2 linked regions of the Notamacropus eugenii genome follow. The protein of the gene in region 2 purifies or fractionates together with the protein of the main gene of each other region. This does not show direct contact. Links are inferred from orthologs where the notes say so. Each region holds a gene or a part of one and is shown on either strand. Other genes may lie near its edges.

Region 1 (7,258 bases), about 180 Mb from region 2:
TCAAATCACTAATAATAAGAGAAATGAAAATGAAAAGAACTCAGGTTTTACCCTACACCCAGCACACAGGTAAAGATGACTACATGGTAAAGGGTAAATGTTAGCTGATATGAGGGAAGATGAGCACATTCATACTGTTGGTAGAGCTATGAACCGATCTAAGTGTTCTAGAAAACAATTTGGAACCGGGCTGAACTACACGCCCACACACTCACCCCCAGTAATACCAGTATTGGGCCTCCTTATTTCGCACCTGAGTACTACTCTGGGACATCTGTGACTTCTCCACCAGGGTCAAAGAAGCTCATTATTGGGAAAATCTCACCATCCTGAAAGGTCTTTTCAGCCCTAGGACTTCACTTCTTTACTACCCTCTGCCCTTCTGATTGAAAGGTGGTGCCATGAACTTTCAAAACTCTATTTAAGCAGGGAGCTGGGCTCAGAACATCTCATTTCTCACCTGATCTCACTCCTCTGGAACTTTTCTGACTTCTCCACCATGCCCCCAAGTCAGGTACTACCCCTCCCCCCTTTACCTGCCTTTTGTATATAATCTTCCCACATTAGATTGGAAGCTCCTAGAGGGCAGGGACTTTCCCTTTTAACACAGGGCCAGGCATATAGTAGGTGCTTAGTAAACGTTTATTGACTTAGCGACTGATTTATTGACATATCCTAAGGATGTCAAGGACAAAGGGAAAGGGTCCACATACACAAAAATATTTATAACAATACTTTCTGAGATAGCAAGAAACTGGAAATAAAGAAGCTAGGAGTCCATCTTTCATTTTACAGACAAGGAAACTAAGGCCTGGTGAGGTTAAGAGATTTGTCCAAGGTCAAAGAGGTTGCAAGTGTTGGGCAGGGTTTGAGCCAATGTTCTGACTCTAAACCCAAGGCTCTTTTCAATTGTACCATGAATGCCATGGAATCTTATTGTGCCATAAGAAATGACAAATAAGAAGAGTTCAGGGAAACTTGGAAAGACTTGAATGAACTGATGCAGAGTAAAATGAGCAGAACTAGAAATTGATTATGATCATTTACTGAAAGATCATACTAAAGTAAAGGAAAACAATGAAAGCCATCAGAACATTAGGCTGCTAGGGACTACAGTGGGCAAGAGCACTCCCAGTGCTGAAGATCAAATGAGGTAAAATGGCTTATAAAACTTAAAGTGCTGTATAAATGCTAGCCATTGTTACTTGATCCAGGCAGTGACCAATCTCAACGTCAGAAAACTGAAAATGGCCAAAACCACTTTCCTCTGCTTGACAGAACAATGAAGGACTACAAATGCAGAATGAGGTACCTGGCTGAAACAGTCAATATGATGGTTTGTTTTGCTTTACTACAGTTTTTCTTTCCTACAAGAGAAGAGTACTATTTTGTAGAATAGAGGAAGACAGAATGACTGAAAAGTCACATGGCATTCAAAGAAAAGTCATCAATAAAATTTTTTCCAAAAGAATTATTTCTTTAAGAAAATGGAAAACTAATAAAGGACTGAACTTCTCAGCAAGGATTTTTAAAAGGGTAAGACACTAGCCTCCATTTTTTCTAGGGAAGTAACATTATACTAGGAGGATGTTAAGTTAAATTTTATACACTTAAAAAGCCCAAACTCGCAATCAAGACTATAGCATCTCCTTCTCAGACCTCTAAACGATTTCCATTGGGTTAGGATGAGTAAGAAAGCAGTAGCCTTTCAAGGACCATTCAAAGGGCAGCTCCTATTGGTTATCCCAAACTTACTTCTGCGGGGTCTTGATCACCAAATGGACAGTGAGCCCATCCTTGATCCCATGTTGATTTAACGTGTCTCCATCTTTGAGAATCTTGCCAGCGAAGATCAGGACAAGCTGGTCTTGCTGGGCTTTAAACCTCCGGGAGATCTCCTCTTTGAACTGTGATATCAGGTCAAAGGTCCAGGGTCAGTGTGGCCTGCCTCACAGAAAGACTGTCCAACAGCTCAGACTCTTCTTCAGAATCCTTGCTCCAATTTCCAGTCATCAGAAATCTTTCCTCCAATCTAGCACCTCTGTGTCCTGCTGCATACTCTACTGAGATGAAGACCACAGGGGCTCTAGTCCTCCCTTGATCACAGGATTTGGAGCTGAGAGGGACCTTACAGACCACTTAGGCCAACCCCAAGAGATGAGCTAACTGAGGGGGTGGACCGGCTTATCCAAAGTAAACTGAGGAGTTTAAATTCTAACCAAGTCAGTTTCTCTGACTCTTTTGTCCATAACACAGTATCACCCTCTCCCAAAAAAAAATCAACTCCTTGCTACTATCTAACCTTTCTTTCCTCACTTGGATCTCCCCCTTCAGTTTTCTCTTACTCTCCACCTTTAAACTTGGGGGTGCCGTTATCTTTAAACTCATTCTAGGCTAAGGCAGTAAAGGAGGGGATCAGGACCAAGGCAGCCTACAACCAGCACTCTGTGGGGGCAAGCAGGGTCTTAAAGGAAAAGGGCATTTCCCTGAATGGGGCATTTGGGGCATGGGGGGCTTTCTCCTCTCATCCCTTAGGGCCAGCTTCTGGCCCTTCCGAGCTCCAGGACTGGGACTGGGGGTACGCCGCCTCCTCACTTTCTAGCCTGCCCGGACCCTCGTGGGTCAGACAGCCCCCTGACCCCACTCCTGCAACCTCTCTTCGCCCCCCACCTCCCGTCTGCTTCCAGGGATGGACGAGCCTCCCCTTTCCCTCCCCTCCCCACCATGTGCCAGAGGCCCCCTCCTTCCTCTCCCCTCCCCCCGGCCGTCCCTCCCCGCCCCCTCCGTCCCTCCCTGCACGCCCGCGCCCGGCCCGGCCCGGCCCCCAGCGCGCCGCTCCTCCCGCCTCCGCGGCCCGCCGAACGGCCAGCGGCGTCCATACCTCCTTCACCGAGGCGCGATCGCAGATCACGATCTCCTCCTTGTCCTTGGGGGTCTTGACGGTGACCCGGATCGGGGGCCCTGGCCCCGGCTCGGCACCGGTTCCGGACGCGGCCCCTGTCCCGGTCCCGGTCCCGGCCCCGGCCCCGGCTCCGGCCCCGTTCGGCTCCGCCATGCCGCCGCCGCCGTCCGCCCGCCCGCCAGCCCGGCCCCGGCTCCTCCTCCCCGCCCGGCCCGGCCCGGCCACGGCGTCCCCAGCCCTCCCCCCCCACCCCAGCCTTCTCCTGCCCGCCCTCCGTCCCTCCCCCCCCCCTGCCGCCGCCGCCGCCTCCGCCGCCGCCGCAGCCGCGCCCGCCCCGCCCCGCGAGTCTCCGCTTCTCTTCCTTCTCTAGCTCTCGGCGGTTACAGCGCCCCCAGCGGACTGGGGGAGTCACGGCAGCACCGGGGACAATGTGTCTAGGAGGGAGAAAGTTCACTGGACGGGACGGTCATTGACTTTAAAGGGTCCTGATGGTCACTGGATTGGAAAGGTCTCTTGTCTCACAGGACAAAAAGGAATCAAGAAGACCTGGGTTCGAATTCAGCCTCAGATGTTTACTGTGTAAATGGGTGGATGAAAAAAATTATTAAGCATTTAATCTATGCACAACCCTGTATCTGGCACCCAGTAGGTGCTGAATATTTATTGACTGACGTACTGTTATGTCCTGGGGAAGAAGAGAAGTAAGACAGTCCCTGATCTACAGGAGACCGGGTTCTAATGGGGAGACAACACACAAGAAAGGTTTCAGCCCTGAGAAATAAGAAAATGGTCAGTGCCACAGCTACTCCTCTTCTGTTTCTTGACCTTATAAACTTCTCTCCTTCTGATGACATTTAGCTTTCCTCTGAGGGTCATTTCTCCTCCCCTAGTTAGGAGTCTTCCTTCCCCTTCAGAATCAAATAGCCTCGATCTTTTGTAATCCTGTGTAAAGTGTCTCCCAGTCACTAGAACCTAGAAGATTTTGTGCTTGATAGGAATAAGGCTGTGATTTCTTTGGTGCAGGGAACTCCTGGGTGGGGACATTCCTTTTACCAGTGCAGGCCAGCACCTTCTCTGCAATTTATCCCCTTAGTTGTCTGCAGAAAGGAGGTTAAATGACTTGCTCAGATTTACCCAGTCATTGTGTGGCAGGGGCAGAACTTGAACCTGGGTATTTTTAGCTTAATAAATGTTTGCTGGTTGATTGGAATCTAACATCTGATGCTTTATGCTAAATTCCCTCTTCTTCTAACCTCCTCTCTTAAATAAAAACAAAAGTAGTATGCTGGAGTGAAAAGAGCACTAGACAGGGAAACAACAGCTCAAGTAGGAGCTAGCTGTGTGACCTTGGGCAAGTCACGACTTTTTATCCCCATTTATATAAAATGGAGATTAATAATACTTAACCTTCCTACCCCACATGATTATTAAGGGCAATTTAGGTTTAGCACAGTGCCTGCTACATGCTTAATAAATGCTTGTTGATTTATATGAAAGTACCTTGCAAAGCGCAAAGATTTGCGCACACACACAAAAATTAAATAAATGACTCATTACGTGCGGACCACACTACTCCAGGCTCCCGGGACGGCTTAAATGTCCTCGGTGAGTCTTTACTCCTCGCATGTTGGACTACGGCCCCCAAGATGCCTCTCGGGCTGAGAAAGAACTACAATTTCCAGGGTGCCCTACCACGGAGGCCTGCAATGATCATTACCGGTGGAGACTACAATTCCCAGTGAGCCCCGGGGGAACCGGCCGGGGCTACGGGAAGCGTCCGACCTAGTGCGAGCCAGGGGAAGACCCTAGGGATCCAGGACGTAGACCGGGTTGCGGGGACTCGGAGCGGTCGTCATGCTTCGCCCCAAGGCCCTGACCCAGGTGCTAAGTCAAGCCAACACCGGAGGCGTCCAGAGCACACTGTAAGTGTTGGGGGTAGGGGGTGCCCTGGGGAGAAGGGGCAGGATGCAGTGCATCCTAGCTGGGATTGGAACAAGCCTGTAGTCCGGCCCGGGAGTGGGAGCTCTGCATACCCCAGGAAGGGAGGAAGAGACCCCAGGAACACGGAGGTGTAGGAAAAGGGGCACGCTATCAATCAATCCATCGGTCCGTCAGCCAGCATTTGTTAAGGCGTCCCTACTGGATGGCAGCCCCCGTGCAGGGGTTTGGGGGGTTCATGGACAAAAATGAAACAAGCTTTGCTTTCCTGGAATTTGAGCTATTAGGGAAATGAAACCTGGATGAGGAATGGGTGGCGGGACTGAGGGAAGAAGAAAGATTTGGGCAGGGGGGAAGGGAAGGAAGGGGGAAGAAGAGGGCAGTGGTTTTCAGAAAGTGTGTGTGTGTCGCGGGGGGAGGCTGATAGCTTTTAGCTTGGGGCCCCAACCCCTGGGGAAAGCGAAATCTAGGAGAGGGAACTCAGGCTTCTCACCCCGGAACACATTCATAGGACTCCAGCCAGTCATTTTAACTATATCCCCCCTCCCCAGGTTGCTGAATAATGAGGGCTCCCTGCTGGCCTACTCTGGTTATGGGGACACCGATGCTAGGGTCACTGCTGCCATCGCCAGTAACATCTGGGCTGCCTACGACCGGAATGGGAACCAAGCCTTTAACGAAGACAATCTCAAATTCATCCTTATGGACTGCATGGTATGAAGGGGAGTGGAGCTCCTGGAGTGGAGGGATTTAAACTAGATTCCCTTAGTGGATGACTCTTTGGGGTCAATGATTTAGGGCTGGAAGGGAACACAGAGAGCCTATTATCCAATCCCCTTCTGTTTTATGGATGAAAAAACTGAGAGCTAAGTGATATGCCCAGGTCACAAACATAGCAAAAGTGCAGATTAGACTATGTTAATAATGGAATGAGTGCTGGATTTAGATTTAGAGAACCTGGGTTTAAGTACTGTCTATATTATTTAAATGTCTGTTATTCTCAGGCAAGTCACAACCTCTCAGGGCCTCGGTTTCCTTATCTGTAAAATGGGAAGTTTGGACTCATTGACCTTCAAGGCAGCTTGCACTTTGAAATTCAATTCAATTTGACAATCACTAAGCCTCAGACCCTGTGTTAAGAACTAGGGGTAACAAGGACAAAACAATCCCTATTCTCCAAGAGTTTGCAATCTTCTGGATCTTTGGTCCTCCGACTTCAAATTCAGTGTTGTTTCCATTGTACTCTGATTACTTTAATCAGTGGATAGACTTGGAGCAGATGCTGGATGATTGGAGGGAGGAGGAGACAGAAACTCCCAAGTGCATCATGGGGGTGGGACCCCAACAACAATTTTAGGGTACAGTCTCAAGTAGACCTGAAAGCAAGGATCTGAACCTGGTACTTTAATTTTTTACCTCATACAAAGAAACCATTTCATGTGCCTGAGTCTTTGCCCTGACAGCTTATAGTTTCTCTGAGAATTACATTAAACTGAGAACAATACATGAGGCTATATGATAGTATGTAAGCCTAAAAAAGATCATAGAATCCCAAATTTAGAGCTGGAAGACTCCTCAGAGGTTTTTTATTCCAACTCCCTAAGAAAATTGGGGGCCAAGGAGTTTACCTAAAATCACACAAATATTACATTATTCCAAAAAATGGATTCTAGGAACCATAATGGTGGGGACAGCTGGGGCCAATTAGCAGTCATATATCACATTTTCTACCCCTGCAGGAGGGCCGGGTAGCAATCACTCGGGTGGCAAACCTGTTGCTGTGTATGTACGCCAAAGAGACTGTGGGCTTTGGAATGCTGAAGGCCAAGGTGATCCCTTATCCCATCTCCTTTTTTAAAAAATGTCTCATGTTCTTCATGCCCTCATCTTGCTAGTTCGGAGTCCTCTTCCCTATTCCCAAGCTTTCTCTAGAATAGGTAGAAATGAGGAGCTCAGACATCTCAGTCTTATTTCCTGGGAAAAAGTGTATGAGGTTTAAAAGCTGATGCTGATGGGGAGGGAGGGAGTGGAACTGGGAGTCTGGATGTCCCAGTCCTTGACTCCATCAGGTATTCTTTTCATGGCTAAATTGAACTAACCTTCTTACAGGCCCAGGCCCTGGTTCAGTACCTGGAGGATCCCCTCACTCAAGTGGCAGCGTCATAGCAATCGGGGGATAATCGACTTGAGAGTGGGGATGAGGGTGGAGGGCTCATCTTTTGATGGGGGCAGGGTCCCCAGTAAACCTTTCCTGAGGTCTGAAGGGAAGTTTTCCAATCTCATTGAATAAACTATTTAACACCTGTCTTATGTCTTAGATTCTTTCTTAATGGTCACGTTTAGTGGGGGAGGTACTAGAGGATTAGATTTGTTCCCTTTGGCCCCATCGGGAAGTGAATGAAAGTTTCAGAGGCAGAT
Region 2 (7,745 bases):
CCTCCCTCTCTCTCTCTCTCTCTCTCTCTCTCTCTCTCTCTTTTGTTTTTGTATTCCCAGCACCTAGCACAGTGCCTAATATGCGCCATGACAAGCTTAAAAAGTTGATTGATTAAAGAAAATAATCCTCCCTTCAGGCTAAACTTAGTAATTTCTTCTTAGCTTCTAAGTGTGTCCTATCTGAAAAAAAGTCTTGGAAGGCCCCAGTTCAAATCCTTGTTCAGTCATTCACACTCCCTGTGACTTAGGGCATGTCACTTCATCTTTGCCTCCCTCCCAGTTTTTTCACCTACAAAATGAAACAGTTTGGACTAAGTAAACTCTAAGATCCCTCCTAGGTCTAAGTCTATGATTTTTAATACATTCTAGCTCAATTCATCCTGTGGTCTTTATTGTCTTTTTCAGGGAGTGGTTAAATGAAAGGTGGTTTTGGAGGATAGTGGGAATACTCAATTACATAGGAGTTTTGCCTCAACAATCTCAAGCATTAAGGAAATAACAAATTAGCTCAACTCATATGTTTTATAATGCAATATTTATCTTTTCTATCATTAAAGACTTGGTTCAAAATAAATGCAATCCATTCCCAAACCAGAAGCTTGTGTTTGATACTAAAATTTCTAAGGTACAGATAAATGCCTCCTACTATCACTCTGTACCCTCACTTCCCCAAAACCTGGGGTTGAAACAAAGAAAAATACATATCTGTGTATATAGATACAACAGATGTGGTGGTAGAGAGACAATTGAAGCAAGATAAGGTTGTAAAATTCACCTAGCGCAGGGCTGGGCAAATATGAAATCAGTCAATATTCAATTAAATAACCACAGCTAAGGAGGTAGTACAATCTAATCATCCCAGGATAGGGTTGGACTTGGGTAGAGTACATTTTCTCCTTCTCTCAGTAATACCTCAGTTTCTTCACTTAAAAATTAAGGCAATGTCTCCCACTCAACTCAGTCTCAGAGATGTTCATAGAAGCCCTAAAAATGTTTTAAAGTTGCTTCAAGATAAAAGTTATTAGGCATGTTTTATCACACTACCTAATATGGTCTGACTTTGAAAGCTATAAGGGTATCTCTGTGTCCTGCATGTTTGAGAGAATAAAGGGCTCTACTTATGCCTATCAGGACAGAGAGTGACAAGATCAAATCTATTCTTCTCTACCAGTATTTCAATCTTTGTTCTTTGCATACCAACCACCACCCATTTTTTATGAGTAGACCTGGGTCAGCAGGCGCACTTTAACTCTGGAAGACTCGGAGGGCAACAACTTGGTAAACATTTCAAAATCCAGATCATCAGGAGTTCTGTAGTATGTTAAGCAGTCCAGATGTTAAGATGGCAGAGCTCATGTTACCTCTGATCTGATCTCCACCACACACGAGTCTGAGACACAAGTCACTACTCACAAAGAGTTTTCTTTTTCATTCTCTCTCCAACTCTGTGTTTAATGTTCCCTTTTCAAACATGGAAGCTGCCTAGAGAAAATGCTTTTTTTTTCAACCTTTTTACTACATATAGCAGAACCTACTTTAAGGAGTTAAAGTAATTGCTTTAGATTGGGGATTAAAGCAAATCAGGGGAAAATCCACAGAGCACAGACGTGCATTTTTGCATTTCTGAATAGCAGAACATGTGTTATCTCAATAAAAGAAAATATTTCTAACTGAACCCCCTTTGACAACATTGGCTGAATCTTTGATTACTGGCAAGAACTCAGGCAACAGTAACAAAGGGGAAACCCCTCTAGAGTCCTGGAATCTGCTTCAGGTTTAAGAAAAGGCATCTTTGTAAGATGCTGGTTAAGAATCACACTTTTCCTATTCTTTTCCCTAGCTCTGGAGACAACTTATGGATATTACTGATTGGCACAAGGAGATGGTCCTTCCAGTTGTTGAGATAATCAGTAAAACACCCACCAGCCACTGAAAATACCTCAGTTCCCACAAATTGCCAACGTGGTGGGAAGCACAGGAGGCTTTCTCTTCAAACCTTCCCTCAACAGGAGAGTTCTAGTAGGAGTTGGAAACACAGAGTAAACTTATTCAGTTACTTTTTTTTCTTTTAATTTCCACATTTCATGTATCCGTCTGGGGTCTTTCCATCCGGTTTTTAGAAAAGCAGATAATTTCAGGGAGAGACCACGTGCAAGTCACCGGATCAGGGTTAGCAATATCTTAACAATGCGCCTAATTAAGAAGTTAACTCGGTACAGGCTATTATAAAGCAATCAAGATTTCCATATTAAAGTACACCGTGAAGAAAACAGATAGAAAGCAGGCAAGGCAAAGCTCTAATTTTGAAGATGCTGTCAGTGCGCACCCTCCCTCCCACATTTCCCTCCAACTGCAACACACCTAAATTATTTTAAGAATCAAAGTAAAATTACACTTTATAGAACGGCACTGTGTTATTACGTATATGTATACATATATGTATATTCTAGAAACCCCCCCAAAATCAGTTTCGACTTTCCAGCTTCCAAGCAGAGGGTTCTGGACATTTTACCTGTTGCAGCATTAACTGACAAAACTTTTTAAACTCTCAAAAGAAAGCTAGGATATTCGAAAGTCTTAATTTAAAAAACAAAACAAAACAAAGTCCATTCCATTCACCATATTATTTGCAGTTCTTTACTTAAATACGAAATTTTCAAGCACTTACAAACTTTAGAAAAGTTTTACTTAAAGAGAAAGAAGATAATAGGTAAAGTTTTTTCTTTAGAACTTACTCTTTTGCTTAAAAGGAGTGATGGAGCCCGAGCAAATGATTGAACTCTTTGGAGGCTGAAATAAAATGGAAAAGCCAGTTCAGGCACTCAGACCTGTCTATTTAAAGTTTAAAAGTCTGCTGCCGTTTTGTCCTTTCCTCCCTCCTTCCCTCTAATGAAAGAAAAGTGCTGATACCTCGTAAAAGCCTTTTTGTAACTTGGAGCACAGAGAGCTTTTTAAAAGTTTTCAAGCCACTGACTAAACTTCAAGGAGGGGTTAGCATCAGAAAGGGGACGGGCGAAAGGGGAGGAGCGGCCAAAGAGGAGCCTGGAACAGCAAACTGTGGGAGGAGAGGGGGGCGGAGAGGCGAGGGTAAAGCGAACGGGTAAGAAACAGAGGAACTTGAAAAGGGTCCCGCCACTAAAAGTGGGAGCAAAAGAAAAGTACGGTTAGACTCGTTCCTCTGAACTATGAGTCTCAGCATCGTCGTTGATGGGTGTCCCTTTTAACCAGAAGCTCTAGAAAGTAAGACAATAGCTACTATATTAAAAAAAATAAAAAATACAGCCTTTTCCTAGAACACAGGCGATTGATTGTGAAATATGTCGACAGATTAAATAGACAGGTAGGTAGGTAGATACGCAACGATTAATAGATGCCAAATTTTTTTAATGGAGACAGAATTCCTTAGACTAAGTAATGGGAAAGCTAAAGGTGACGAGAGTAACTTCTTTTTATTCAACACTTTTCTTCTCTTGGATAGTGACAAATAACAGGCAAGTGGGGGACACCCTGAAGTTTCCAAAATAAACACATCTGTCTTAACTTTTCCCCCCCTCTGCCCATCCTGGATTTTTGCCATTTCCTTCAGAAGCTAACCAAAAAGCCAAGGTGTGTTTATTTAGTTAGCTTTTCGAAATTCAGCTGACTGTGAAATCCTTATCTGCTCAAGTTTCTATGAGGGAGCTGTAGTTACTATAATATAATCTCAGAACCCTTTAATGAAACAATGCCCAGATTAATGCAAGATATTTAATGAAACAGCGTTTAGCAAGAAAAAATATTAGGTTATTTTACTGAATACAGGCTTGTAGTGCTAATGTTGCCAGTTGGGTTAAGGTCAAGTTAGCTTTGGCTCTCATCCATACCCATTAGACCCTCCTTGAGACCAACTCCCTCTCTAAAAATCACAGAAGAACCTTTTGCCCAATGACTGTTGAGCGTTGCACATAATTTTCATGAGTCGCTTTAGTGTTTTCATGGCACTAACTATTCAAGACTCTGCATCAGTCTTTATAATTACCTGAGTCATACAGAGTTATTTTGTTGGATGCTCTCACTCCTGGTGTGAGCAGTTCCCTTTGTGGGCTTCTCAGCTGCCCCAGCAGGGCTCTGTGGTTGGACAGCTCCCCACAAATATGTTTGCACCATGCTACCTGGATAGGATAGGTGGGAGATAGTGCTCACGACACTCCTTGGGCCCATTTTCTCTTAGCAAGGTGAGCTCATCTAGTGCTATAGACTTTCATCTTCATTTTTGAAGTCTCCCACCAGAAAGAAATGAGACAAATATTTTGAAAGAAGTAACCTTTCTCCAAAGATGCGAATGACTTTACTTTCACTGAATAGACTCATAAATATCTTGTGGAACTTATGAAGCCTTTTCTGTTAAGACATTAGTTTATCCTCATTCTAATTGTGCTCTTCTTAAGGAGTCATACAACACTATGAAAGACAACACATTTGAGTGAGTAAAAGAACATTTTATGGTCTGCAAACACAAATTGGTTTGAAGGTAACCCAGCTACATTTAGTCAAACTGGTTAAACAATTGATCACTCTTCAGATTAACCAGTTGTTTAAATTTAAAAAGGTTCTCCATTGTTGTTGTTTTAAAACTAGTTTAAATACCACCTAACTATTCAGTTCTTCATGGAGCTCTGTCCTAGTTAAACTTTCAAAGTACAACTCCCATAATGACTAACTATATACAGTCTTTGTATCAAATCCAGTGTAACTCTTCAGGTCCTAAACATTTCAACTCCTTTACCATTAGATACAATCTGCTATATTTATCCTAATATAGCCCATCCCTTTTCCCTTGCTTCATTGAAAGTCATAATTAAACTTGTTTTCCCTGTAACTAAGAAGGAAAGCTATTATATGCATGAAACTGTAGTACAGCTTTCAATGATCGATCCTTAGAAATTCATAAACATTATTATTGTCGTTTATTTTACATTTATCTAGCCATTTTTTAAGGAAATGTTTTACTCATTTTTAGGAACAAAAGGCAAAACTGTGGGAAGATAACTGTCCCAGGATTCAAAAGACTTTAATATGGAAATGATTCATTATAAGAAGTGCCTCACTATTTCTTTTTTAACAGTTGGATTTTTCTTTATCCAGTTTGGTTAATAATCAGATTTTCTGCATTCCATTAGATAGAATTATTATGAGAATTCACCATCTCATAGATTCCAAAGTTGCATTTCAAATTAGTTGTGGCAAAGGAGATATTGTGACTAACTAGTCAGTAGCAATACCATGAAAACAAGATTGTCATCATTACAAATAGATGGATCTATATTTAAGGATCTAGTCCACTTATAAATAACTTGATACATTTTTGACCTGTTATCTTTATGAACAAAGAGAAATAGAACTCAAGTCAAACTGATGTGGATTCTTAATGAGAATTTCATAAGCTGGTGGTCTAAGTCAAAGACTAGACCCCAATTCATGGGATTCAATGAGAGAGATAGAAAGTTGAACCTGGAGTCAGGAAGACCTGAGCTCAGCTCTATGCTGCCTTTGACACTAGTTGTGTGACTATGTGCAAGTCTCTTAACTTCTTTGATCCTTAGTTTCCTTATATATAAAATGAGGGAGTAAGAACTTCCAAAACACCTATAAGTTCTAAATATAGGATCCTAAATTAGTCTGCATTATTAAATCTACCTGATTTCCTTTCTTTGCTCTGAAATGGTTTGCCAACAATCTCTTATGAGATGAGAAGTTTATAGGTATTCCTCTCTGTCCTTACTTAGAATAACTGGATGAAAATTTGTGCACTGTTGCTGATAATACCAAAAATCAGCTCCTTTCCTATAAACTGTCCTATTAGAACAACAATAACTCAACAGAAAAGATCTATCCAAGTTGAAATTATAAAATTTGGATTGTTCTCCTCTACTGATATTTTGTTTCTCTAAATTGTACCTACATAATGTAATTATTTTAAAATTTTTATAATTGATTCCATTTTTAAGAATTATTCTACTACAATTTGGATTTCTTTTCATTTGGAAAGAATTATTCTACTACAATTTGGATATTTTTTCAGTTGGAAAGATTTATGGAAACATTTAGATTAAGATTTGAACAGTTAATCCAAAATATATGTCCCTGCTTTTTTGGACTCACATGTTCTCTTAAATGACTTTTGCCCAATTGTCAAGTGACGCAATGATTCTTCAATAACAAGGTAGAATACGGGCATGAATTAAACAGGACAGATTTTTTTTTTAGTACATCCTGAATCATTCTTCAATAACAAGGTAGAATATGGGCATGAATTAAACAGAACAGATTTTTTTTTAGTACATCCTGAAAATATGAATTGAAAAGTAGAATGCTTCAATGAAGCTTGGAAAAACAAAAAGTTCATTAAATGACATAGGTTACTCTCAGAATTAACTCATGTTGTTTAATTAACAATAGTTGTTGTAGTATATTGAATGATTTCTTGCTGGTTAAATAGTGTTAACCCAGATAAGTGATCTGGAGATTAGATTAGTTGGGCAGAAGAAATGAACAGTGCCGTTATTTAGGGAAATAGCTAAGCAAACTGTGGTATGTGAATGCAATTGAATATTACTGCACCTTAATAAATGAATATGAAGAGTTCGAAGAAACCTGAAAAAAAAACCTTAAATAAACTGATACAGAGTAAAGTAGGCAGAACATATATGTGTACATATATGTGTATATGACAATATAACAATGTAAATGGAAAGAACACAATTAGCTCAAGTAAATCTTAATACTATGTAATTTTAACAACCAAGTTTGGACAGGAGAAAAGAAAATGCATCTCGCTCTCCCTCTCTCTTTCAAAATATGCAACATTGAATATGCTACTATCAGATTGGGTTGATACGTTGTTAGTTTTACTGACCTGTTTTTCTTTCTCCCACTAGGACAAGGGATAGACAATTTGTTGTTAGTGTAGGAGGATGGAACACATACAAAAACAAAGCTGATGTATAAACAAAAGCTACCAAATAAATATGTTTTTGAAGGAAAAAGAATTGGACAGGGCCAAAACATTCAGGAGGTTTTTTCCAGAGTTAACCTTCCTCAGAAAGAAGCAAGGAAACAGGAGTCATGAGTTCCTGCCCTAAGTAAGGCAGTCTTTCTGATCTGCTGGGGTCAATCTTTCAGCTTTAAAAAATTCTGTTACTTGGTTTTAATACTTAGCTTGAAAAATATACAGCAAATTACTGTAGAAGAGCAAATTACAGTTTCAGAATGAAATATACCAATACACATTGTTGTGAGAAGTAGTGTCTTAGCTTGGGGACTGGTTCCACTGATTTTCCCTCTTTGGTTTATACCATATTGATAAGCTAATCTTCACTGATAGAGTCAGATTTCTGCATTGCCTTATTTTTAAATCCAATGCAGACAAATAATATGAAAAGAGTGGGGGAAAATAAGCCAGAAGATCAAATAATGGTACTTCGGTACAGTGATGTCTCCTCTAACATTAAAATACACTCCAAGCAAATTTTCCAAGCTCAATTTAGTGGAAAGAATACAAGTCTGGCAAAGCCAGCTTGAAAAGTAATGACACAATTTAATCTGAGAAAGTCCCCTGTAACCAAAGGTGAGGTGGATGTTAGCTACCCCTACTTCATTCTCCAATTAAAGGCATTCCCATCACTTCCCATCTGCTGCAACTCTTTTCAACAGTTATGAACCTGGGAGATGAACCTGGGAGTCTCATCTACATATTCGTAACTTTT

Evidence for each region. Proteins that work in one complex are often made in the same cells at the same time.
Region 1: the proteins of GJA1 (region 2) and UBQLN4 purify together in Homo sapiens (affinity purification with western blotting; 3 studies listed by BioGRID). This does not show direct contact. The link is inferred for Notamacropus eugenii from reciprocal best matches to the Homo sapiens genes GJA1 and UBQLN4.

Annotation. Positions count from the first base shown.
Region 1 is NC_092873.1:380,138,024-380,145,281, forward strand, and holds the start of UBQLN4 (ubiquilin-4), read right to left. Parts: upstream 3,074-7,258; 5' UTR 3,056-3,073; coding exon 2,882-3,055; intron 1,908-2,881; coding exon 1,756-1,907; intron 1-1,755. Other genes in the region: ragulator complex protein LAMTOR2, read left to right, coding at 4,757-4,824, 5,392-5,554, 6,580-6,669, 6,950-7,006. UniProt on the Homo sapiens protein: Regulator of protein degradation that mediates the proteasomal targeting of misfolded, mislocalized or accumulated proteins.
Region 2 is NC_092873.1:203,953,962-203,961,706, reverse strand, and holds the start of GJA1 (gap junction alpha-1 protein), read right to left. Parts: upstream 3,055-7,745; 5' UTR 2,911-3,054; exon of another isoform or gene 2,736-2,910; intron 2,035-2,735; exon of another isoform or gene 1,841-2,034; intron 1-1,840. UniProt on the Homo sapiens protein: Gap junction protein that acts as a regulator of bladder capacity. A gap junction consists of a cluster of closely packed pairs of transmembrane channels, the connexons, through which materials of low MW diffuse from one cell to a neighboring cell.